Linked DNA regions of Macaca fascicularis. The protein of the gene in region 1 binds, or shares a complex with, the protein of each later gene. Links are inferred from orthologs where the notes say so. Each region holds a gene or a part of one and is shown on either strand. Other genes may lie near its edges.

Region 1 (5,499 bases):
CTCACAAAAGCACTAAGGTAGGTCCTATTATTCACCCCACTTTGCAGATAGGGAAACTGATACTCGGAGATATGAGAAAACTTTCTCAAAGTCATATAGCTAGGAAACAGCAATGCTAGCAAGTGCTTATGCCAGGATTCAAATCCAGGTCTCCCCATTCCAGTTCCCTAGGACTCCTAACCACAACATCACATCACCTGGTATGCACCTGACTTTCTCCCTTTCCTAGTTGGCAAGCTCCTTGACAGCCAAAACTGTCCTAATTACCTTTCTCTAATGACTAGCGTAGAACCCAGAACATAATGGGGGATGGGTGGGGGGATGCCAAAAAAAGTGTACCGAATTAGAAATCTTGCAATTTAAGAGGATCATGCATATTCTTGTGTATTTTTTGTGTCATGCAAACCCAGTTTGGGTCTCTCTCCCTCTCCCCACAAACCCCTGTATCCCAGGTTTCAGCATATGGAGCTAACTCAATGACCCATCCCATAACTTGTTGCAGTCCATCTCTGGTGATGGCCCCTCTCTGGGGTATCACCTGGGTTTCGGCCTCAAGCACACGCAGGCGCCGGCTGGCAGAAGACAGCAGGGTCTCAAGCTCCAGCTGCAGGGTGTCCAGCTCCTCGATGCCGATGCCATCATCCTCGGATCGCGCCAGCACTGCCGTGTAGCGGGGACAGACCTTCAGGTGATCCACAGACTTGAAGTCATGGAACTGCAAGGGGCAGTCTTTCAACTCACTCATGGCCCAGGATATGGGGATCCTGTGGGGCTGGAGAGGACAGGGCCATTGATGGGAGACAAAGGGGTCTGAGAAAAGCCCAAGGGCTTCTTACCTCCAGGGACAGTCTCAAGCAAGCCAGGCTTCAGTCCCTTACTGACAAAATTGATGGCACAGTTCCTACTCACAGGGCACTTAACTGTGTACCAAGCTAGGCGCAAAGCACTTTATCAGCTTATCTCACTTAATTTCTCACTCAGCACCATGAACAAGGACCGTTGTGATCTCTTTACAGAGAAAGAAACTGAGACTCTGTAAGGGTGGGTATGTGCCTATGCTTCCAAGATGCAATTTGAACCCCGCTATATTGAGTCTGCACCCCTGATCACCATGCTATATTACTATGCATTGCCTTGCCTTTCTGATGCTCTTTCCTTCCCTTCTATTTCTCTTGGGTTCTGCTAAGACTTTGAGTTCCAAGCACCCCATTCTTACCATGTTCTCTGGGACTCTTGGCCTCTTTTCTTATCCTACTCCACCTTTCTCCCTTCTCTAGTCACTAATAGTGGTTTAGAACGTGGGCTGGTAAGCCAGACAGACCCGGGTTCAAGTCCAGGCTTTACCATTCTCTACTTATGTGCCCCTGAACATGTTGTTTAACCTTTTTGAGTCTCAGTTTTTCCATCTGTAAAATGGGAACAAAAGAAGTCTCGGTCTGTTTCCCCATTAAAAGTCTGAATCTGAAAAATGGGGATAACAACGGTACCTACCTCCCTGGGATGTTCTGAGGATTAAGAGATGATGCCCGTCAAGAGCCCAGTTCAGTGTCTGGCACAGAAATGGGACTATTTAATGGCTGGCCCCGCCCGGGGGTCGTCCAAATGTCCCGCCTTCAGAGTCCTCGTTCTCTAGGGACACCCTAGCGCGACCCCCGCCCCCTCTACCTCCTCACTGCGGCCTCCTACGGCCCCAGGGCCGCGGGAGGGGGCGGGGAGTTCCGGTCGACGGGAGCAACCGCCCCGGAACTGGCTATGGGCGGGCCCCTTGCAGTTGACGCGGGGGCGGGGAGTCAGCGAGGGCGAGCCTACTGAAGTTTGCCGGGGGTGGGGAGAAGGTGGGCCTCGAGCAAGCCCGCTAGAGGTGGGGTGCGGGTGGTTGGCCTCAGGCGCGCCCCAGGGCATAGCCCGGGGCGGGAGGCGGGAGGCGGGGCTTGGCGGCGGAGATCTCGGCGCTGCAGTTAGCGCCGCTGAGCCCCAGGAGCTGCGGGTAGGAGGGGCGAGAGAAAGGATGGGGGCACAGAACCGGAAGAAACGAAGGGCTCCTCCGCTTCAGCTTGTCCTAATTTGGTGCCCAATCTGAAGCTGGGCTGTACCATTGCATACCTGGGGGGAGGCTGTGGCAAAGGTAACAAGAAGGCCGAAGGCACAAAGGGGAGCTGCTCCCATTCCTGGAGAAGCTTAAGTAGTGACTCGAGTGCAAGAGTTTAAAGATACCGAGACAGCCCTAGGTGGAAAACTTCCGGAAGGGCCAAGCGTTCGCAAGGGCTCCCTATCCCGCTCAGAGCATAGATGGTACCATCCGGAAGTCCGGGCGGAGACAGAGGCTGCGCTTCTCGCGAAAGGGCAGGCATCGCGGGGCTGGCCACTTCCGTACTTCCGCTTTCCGGCCCAGCCAGCGCCCGCGATGGTGAGAGAGCCGGGCCCCCGGCCAGGGACCCCCAGCTGTTCAGCCTCAGGGCAGTGGGTCGGTGGGAGATGTGGCTTTGCCGCAGGGGCGCGGGGCTGAGGGATGCCCGGGGGTTGTGGGGACACCATGAGGGTGGGAGAAAGAGGGCGGGGGCCCGAGGTGAGGAAGGGGCGAGTAGGGGTACTCCCTGGTTTGAAGCGGGCCTTGCGGCTTCGTGATCAGCCTTCCAAGCAGGTAGGGGCTTTTACTGAGCCCTGGAGGAAGCTGGAAGTGGGGCTTCCTAGGCTCTTTGGAGCGTTTCGAGGGTACGTAGTCGGCCTCTTAGCCCGTCGAAGGGCCGCTGAGGCATGTAGCGGGTCCATCTGCCTGTCCACAGTAGAGCTTCACTAAATACGCCCTTTGTCTTCTGCCTTCCTGACCCTACAGTTGCTTAAGGCAGGCGGCCACACTTCCTTATCCCACTCTTGGTACCTCCAGCCCTGCTTCCACCCCACTGGAGGATCTCTCGTGTTGCTTCCATTCAGGCCCCTCCTGGTCAGAACTGAACTGTGTCAGCCCTAGTGTTTGTTAGCTGTGATACTGCTCATCCCTCCCTTCCTGAAAGTCCTCCCTTTTTCATACATGTGGGTATTCTTGGGAGTTGTGACTTTGGATGACCACCTCCCTCATCGTCACACCTTCCCTGGTGATACCGATCTAGTCTGCTGGCTTCGATGACTTTCTTCACTCTGATGACTCCTAATCTGGCTTCTCAGCTCTCTTTGAAGGTTTGCCTGGGTATCTTGAAGAGACCTTGAAATTACACCTCTAGTTCAAAACTCATCTTCCATTCTAAATTTGCTCTTCCTCCTGAGTTCCCTATCCTGGCAAACTTTGTGAACTCGTATCCCTGCTAGAAATCTGGATTTTTTTTTTCTAATGGAGCACATGCGTCTTGATTTTTAAAAATTTAAGTTTTTTGAGGTATTGTATGAGACTACGTCTGTTTTATTCATGAAAGGACAGGCGTCACGGAGCCAGTCACCTTTTTTAGGTTTACTGTCTATAACTATTGCCAAAGGCCGGGCGCGGTGGCTCGCGCTTGTAATCCCAGCACTTTGGGAGGTCGAGGTGGGCGGATCACGAGGTCAGGCCATCCAGACCATCCTGGCTAACACGGTGAAACCCCTTCTCTACTAAAAATGCAGAAAATTAGCCGGGAGGGTGGTGGTGGACGCCTGTAGTCCCACCTTCTCGGGAGGCAGGGGCAGGGGCAGGAGAACGGCGTGAACCCAGGAGGCAGAGCTTGCGGTGAGCCGAGATCGTGCCACTGCACTCCAGCCTGTCGCTCCAGCGACAGAGCGAGACTCCATCTCAAAAAAAAAAAAGTGTTGACAAAAACTTGCTGGGTATGGTGGCATGCACCTGTAGTACCATCTGCTCAGGAGGCTTAGGCAGGAGGATCACTTGAGCCCAGAAGTTCGAGGCTGTAGTACCCTGTGATCACGCCTGTGAATAGCCACTGCACTGTAGCCTGGACAATATAGCAAGATCCTGTGTCTTAAAAAAAAAAAAGTCAAGTTATGTAACCACTACTACAACCAAAATACAGAATATTTCCATCACCCCAAAAAATTCCCTCGAGCCCTTTTGTAATCACACCTTTCCTCCTTCCCACCCCCGACAACCACTGATTTTTTTAACCCCTATAGTTTTGCCTTTTTCAGATTGTCATGTGAATGGAATGCTTTAGTATGCAGGCTTTTAAATGTACCTTCTTACCATAGTACATGTGAGAGTCAACCATGTTGTGTGTATCAATAGTTACTCTTTTTTATTGCTAAGTAGTATTTAATTGAATGACCGGACCATAGTTCGTTGGAAGTTGTTTTTTTCTTTTTTTTTTTTAAAGACACAGTCTCTCCCTGTCGCCCAGGCTGGAGTGCAGTGGCCAGATCTCGGCTCACTGCAACCTCAGTCTCCTGGGTTCAAGCAGTTCTCCTGCTTCAGCCTCCCAAGTAGCTGAGATTACAGGCACCCGTCGTGGCTAATTTTTTTGTATTTTTAGTAGAGACAGGGTTTTGCCATGTTAGCCAAGCTGGTCTTGAACTGCTGACCTCAGGTGATCCACCCACCTCGGCCTCCCAAAGTGCTGGGATTACAGGCATAAGCCCCTGGGAAGTTGTTTTTCAGTTCCGTTATCCACTCCATCTAATGTCAGTCCAACACTTGTGATACTCTTTGCTGGTGACACAGTCTGCTGTATGTCTCACTTCCCTCTCCAAATCATTCTTCACAGAGCTACCATGCAGCTGCAGTCATGAACTTCCTCCTCAGAAAGCCCCAGTAGTTCCTTACCCCCTTAAGAGAAAAGCTAAACTTGGTCTGGCATTCAAGATTCCCCATGATCTGACCTCAGTCTACCACTGCAGCCTCATTTAGTGAATCTAAAATGCTTCTCATATACAGAAACATTGTACTCATTACTACTCTGGAACTCTTGCTGTCCTTTTGTGTTACTCTAACCTTAATTATTTCTTTTGCTCATTTATTCTACAGGAAATGAGTAAGACACTCTACATGTTACGTACTGAGCTAGGTTGGAGGCTATATAGCTGTGAGTAAAATAAATATGGTCTGTTGACCACGAGGTTTACAGCCTAATAAAGGAGAAATCACTTTACAAAGGCATGAAGGAGGCCAGGTGCAGTGGTTCACGCCTGTAATCCCAGCATTTTAGGAGGCCGAGATGGGCGGATCACTTGAGGTCACGAGATTGAAACCAGCCTGGGCAACATGGCAAAACCCCGTCTCTACTAAAAATACAAAAGTTAGCCAGGCACGGTGCTGCACACTTGTAATCTCAGCTGTTTGTGTGACTGAGGCAGGTAAATCACTTGAACCCGGGAGGTGGAGGTTGCAGTGAGCCAAGATTGTACCACTGCACTCCAGCCTGGGCAACAGAGTGAGACTCTGTCTCAAAAATAAAATAAAAAAAAAATAAAGGCCAGGCACATTGGCTCACGCCTGTAATCCCAACACTTTGGGAGGCTGAAGTGGGCGGACTGCCTGAGGTCAGGATTTGAAGACAACCATGGCTAACATGGTGAAAC
Region 2 (4,719 bases), on another chromosome or scaffold:
GGTTTCGCCATGTTGGCCAGGCTGGTCTCGAACTCCTGACCTCAAATGATCTGCCCACCTTGGCCTCCCAAAGTGCTGGGATTACAGGCATGAGCCACTGCCCTTGGCCTGGGGCCAGTTTTTTGACTATAAAATTTTTTTTTTTTTTAATTGTTTTTGAGACAGGTTCTCACTCTGTCACCCGGGCTGGAGTGCAGTGGCACCATCACAGCTCACTGCAACTTTGACCTCTTGGGTTTAGGTGATCCCCTCACCTCAGCCTCTGACTAGCTGGGACTACAGGTGTGCGCCATCATGCCCAGCTACTTTTTGTATTTTTTGTAGAGATGGTGTTTGCCCAGGCTGGTCTCAAATTCCTGGGCTCAAGCAATCCACCCACCTCAGCCTCCCAAAGTGCTGGGATTACAGGTGTAAGCCACTGCACCTGGCCTAAATTTGTGTAAAATTTGACCCAAAGTCCATGCCACATTTGATCAACTTTCATTTGTCTTCTCCACATTTTCTTTTTGGTTAAGTCAAGACATTGACATTATGGAGTTCTTTGGGAGCAAGTCAAATGTGAAATAGTTGCTTCCTCTTTTAGAGTAATAAATATTTCTGTTCTCAGCGGAGACCCTGAAGTGAAAGGGTTTTTAAAGATTAGCCAACCATATGGAGCAGCTCAGGCTTTCCAGGCAGCCTTGTTACTTCTCCTTCCTACACAGTGAAGGGCTGTTGACACAGATCCTTGGGAACCCCGGGACAAGAGAGAGCAGCCACTCAGACAAGCGTAGTGGCTCATGCCTGTAATCCCAGCACTTTGGGAGGCTGAGGTGGGCAGATCACTTGAGGTCAGAAGTTTGAGACCAACCTGGCCAACATGATGAAACCCTGTCTCTCCTAAAAATAGAAAAATTAGCCAGGCATGGTGGTGGGCACCTGTAATCCCAGCTACTTGGGAGGCTGAGGCAAGAAAATTGCTTGAACCTGGGAGGTGGAGGTTGCAGTGAGCCGAGATTGTGCCACTGCACTCCAGCCTGGGCAATAGAGCAAGACTCCGTCTCAAAAAAACAAAACAAAACAAAAAAGAGCAGCCGCACAGCTCAGAGTGGGGCTTGTGCCTTCCTCCCAGGGACAAATGGAAAAGGAGACTGAGGAGACTGTGCGTTTGGAGAATAGGAGTTTTGATGTGATAGTGGCTGTCCTACCACTGCATCCAGTAGATAATCAGAAGACAAAGATGGAATTCATTCATTGCATATCATTGTTATGTTTTGATAACTGTTTTTAAGTCTTCTTTTTCTCCCTGTAGAATGAAGCTGATAGGACCTTGATATATATAACTCTCTATATTTCTGAATGTCTGAAGAAACTCCAAAAGGTAATTAAACTTGGATGATTATATATCAGGAAAACAAATTGCTGAGAGGCATTTACCCTCCCAGTCATCTGGGATTTGTTGAGACTTTAAAGACAAGTAGAAAATATTTCCTCTGACTTACAGCATGGACTTAAGAGAAAAATTTGAATTTAGTTCTCTGAACTTGTAGTATAATTGACTGACACAAAGATAAAAGTAGTGATGTTTTAAGCCTTTGCATATATTTTCTCAAGACAGAAATCTTGACAGAGAAATTCCTTTTAATCCCTTGGCTCAAGGGTTCTTAACCTGGGGTCCAAGGATGGAATTCTTTTCCCTGTAAAATATGTGTGTGTGTGTGTGTGTGTGTGTGTGTGTGTGTGTGTGTGTGTGTGTGTGTGTGTGTATGTGTGTGTATATATATATATATATATATTTTTTTTTTTTTTTTCAGTGCAATTCCAAAAGCCAAGGTGAAAAAGAAATGTATACATTGGGAATCACTAATTTTCCCATTCCTGGAGAGCCTGGTTTTCCACTTAACGCAATTTATGCCAAACCTGCAAACAAACAGGAAGATGGTAAGAACAGGTCTCTATCCTCTCTCTATGGCACAAGAAGATTTTCTCCATCTGACTTCCTACCACCCCTCCTTTTCTTGCCTTGATTCATATACAGATTGAGAGTGAAATGATAGGAAGTACATTATCTTATTAGTCACTCTCACAAACAATTCTTGGCAACAAGGATGACATGCAGAAAATCTTTTGAACAAAAACAAATGTAGTTATAAAACTCTTTGGACTGTCATTTCTATTTCATATCCTGTTAGAATGTATAAAAATGTATTACCACAGTGAGCATACAGACCTGCAACCAGTACATTTGGGATGTATTTGCAAATACAGTTTTTTAAAATTGTTCTGTTTTAGAAGTGATGAGAGCCTATTTACAACAGCTAAGGCAAGAGACTGGACTGAGACTTTGTGAGAAAGTTTTTGACCCTCAGAATGATAAACCTAGCAAGGTAAGACCCTCTTCTTGCCTGCTTAATTGGTAAATCACCTTTTATCCAATAGCCACCATTGAACACACTAAGGTCTTCCATTGCAAGAATATTTTTAATTTCTGCATTGCAGTGTTGCTTAACTTCCAGTATGTGTCTAGTATGTAATATGAGTTTACTGAATCACACTAAATAATGAATTGCAGGCCGGGCACAGTGGCTCACGCCTGTAATCCCAACACTTTGGGAGGACGAGGCAGTGGATCACTTGAGTTCAGGAGTTCGAGACTACCTGGCCAACATGGTGAAACCCCACCTCTTTTAAAAATATAAAAAATTAGCCAGGCATGATGGCACACTCCTGTCATCCCAGCTACTCGGGAGGCTGAGACGAGAGTCACTTGAACCCAGGAAGTGGAGGTTGCAGTGAGCCAAGATCATGCCATTGCACTCCAGCCTGAATGACAGAGTGAGACTTTGTCTAAAAAGAGTTTATGGCCAGGCAAAAAGAGTTTATGGCCAGGCGCGGTGGCTCACGCCTGTAATCCCAGCACTTTGGGAGGCCGAGGCAGGCGGATCACGAGGTCAGGAGATCAAGACCATCCTGGCTAACACAGTGAGACCCCATCTCTACTAAAAAATACAAAAAATTAGCCAGGCACGGTGGCGGGCGCCTATAGTCCCAGCTACTGGGGAGGCTGAGGCAGGAGAATGACATGAACCCAGGAGGCAGAGCTTGCAGTGAGCCAAGATCGCGCCACTGCCCTCCAGCCTGGGCAACAGAGCTAGACTCCATCTCAAAAAAAAAAAAAAAAAAGGTTTATAAGAGATTTCAGACTGATATGAAATTTTATTATTAAATAAATGCGAATTCTATTGTAATTTGACTCCCACCATTCATTCTTTGTTGTCCCCTCTTGTTAGTGGTGGACTTGCTTTGTGAAGAGACAGTTCATGAACAAGAGTCTTTCAGGACCTGGACAGTGAAGGGAACCCGGGCAGCCACCGTCTCCAGAGCCCTGGGCAGCATTTTCCAGCGAGATGTACACAATCTTTTGCCTTTATTTCGTAAAGTTTTATACAGAAGAGAGAAGAGCATGTCTTTACTTGAAAAACTCTTGATCAGTAATTTGGGTGGGAGACAAGAAAATGGGTTATCAAGGGTGATTTGAAGTTTTCTGCAGCATTAAGCTGGCACTTAATAAGAATAAGTCATAATAAAGAAATTTCTAACATTCCATGTAAGAAAAACTTTATTGCCTGTCTTTGACATTCACTTACAATTTGTTTTAAGATAAAATTCACATTCCATAGTACCCTTTTAAAGTGTACAATTTACTTTTTTTAGTATATACATGAAGTTTTGCAACCATCACCACTAAATCCAGAGCATTTTCATCACCCCAGTGTAATGAACCTGCACACTTTAGCAGCCACCCCACCCCACATTCCTCCCCAAGCCCCTGTCCTTCCCACTCTCCTCCCAGTATTAATCTACTTTCTGTCTCTATGAATTTGCTCATTCTGGATAATTCATGTAAATTGAATTTTTTATACAACATGTGGCCTTTTATGTCCAGCTTCTTTGACTTAATGTTTTCAAATTCACCCATGTTAGAGCATATACATCAGTGCTTTCTTTTCTCTTTTTCTTTTTTTTTCTTTCTGTGTATGTGTACGCAATAAAATATACTAATATGGCTGGGCGCAGTGGATCACGCCTGTAATCCCAGCACTTTGGGAGGCCCAGATGGGCGAATCACCTGAGGTCAGGAGTTCAAGACTAGCCTGACCAACACAGAGAAACCCGGTCTCAACTAAAAACACAAAAATCAGCCGGGCTGGGCGCTGTGGCTCATGCCAGTAATCCCAGCACTTTGCAAGGCCCAGGTGGGCGGCTTACCCGAGGTCAGGAGTACAAGACCAGCCTAACCAATATGATGAAACCCTGTCTCTACTAAAAATACAAAAATTAGCCGGGCATGGTGGCATGCGCCTGTAATCTCAGCTACTCGGGAGGCTGATACAGGAGAATCACTTGAACCCAGGAGGCAGAGGTTGCAGTGAGCCGAGATCGTACCATTGCACTCCAGCTTGGGCAACAAAAGCGAAACTCCGTCTCAAAAAAAAATAAATAACTCAGCTGGGCGTGGTGGCACATGCCTGTAATCCCAGCTACTCGGGAGGCTGAGGCAGGAGAATTGCGTAAACCCAGGAGGCAGACGTTACGGTGAGCCGAAGGTTGCAGTGAGCTGAGATAGCACCATTGCACTCCAGCCTGGGCAACAAGAGCAAAACTTTGTCTCAAAAAAAAACGAAACAAAAACCTAAAATTTATGGTGGTACTTGAACGACTAAAGTATTTGCAGGCCGG

What was found. The genes of interacting proteins can lie anywhere in the genome.
Region 2: ARPC4 (region 1) and ARPC3 share a complex: the UniProt entries of both Homo sapiens proteins name them as parts of the arp2/3 complex. The link is inferred for Macaca fascicularis from reciprocal best matches to the Homo sapiens genes ARPC4 and ARPC3.

The regions. Positions count from the first base shown.
Region 1 is NC_088376.1:148,053,335-148,058,833, forward strand, and holds the start of ARPC4 (actin-related protein 2/3 complex subunit 4), read left to right. Parts: upstream 1-2,280; 5' UTR 2,281-2,289; coding exon 2,290-2,457; coding exon of another isoform or gene 2,458-2,464; intron 2,465-5,499. Other genes in the region: TADA3 (transcriptional adapter 3), read right to left, coding at 539-745. UniProt on the Homo sapiens protein: Actin-binding component of the Arp2/3 complex, a multiprotein complex that mediates actin polymerization upon stimulation by nucleation-promoting factor (NPF).
Region 2 is NC_088385.1:117,307,608-117,312,326, reverse strand, and holds the end of ARPC3 (actin-related protein 2/3 complex subunit 3), read left to right. Parts: intron 1-1,291; coding exon 1,292-1,360; intron 1,361-1,793; coding exon 1,794-1,920; intron 1,921-2,271; coding exon 2,272-2,366; intron 2,367-3,269; coding exon 3,270-3,332; 3' UTR 3,333-3,596; downstream 3,597-4,719. UniProt on the Homo sapiens protein: Component of the Arp2/3 complex, a multiprotein complex that mediates actin polymerization upon stimulation by nucleation-promoting factor (NPF).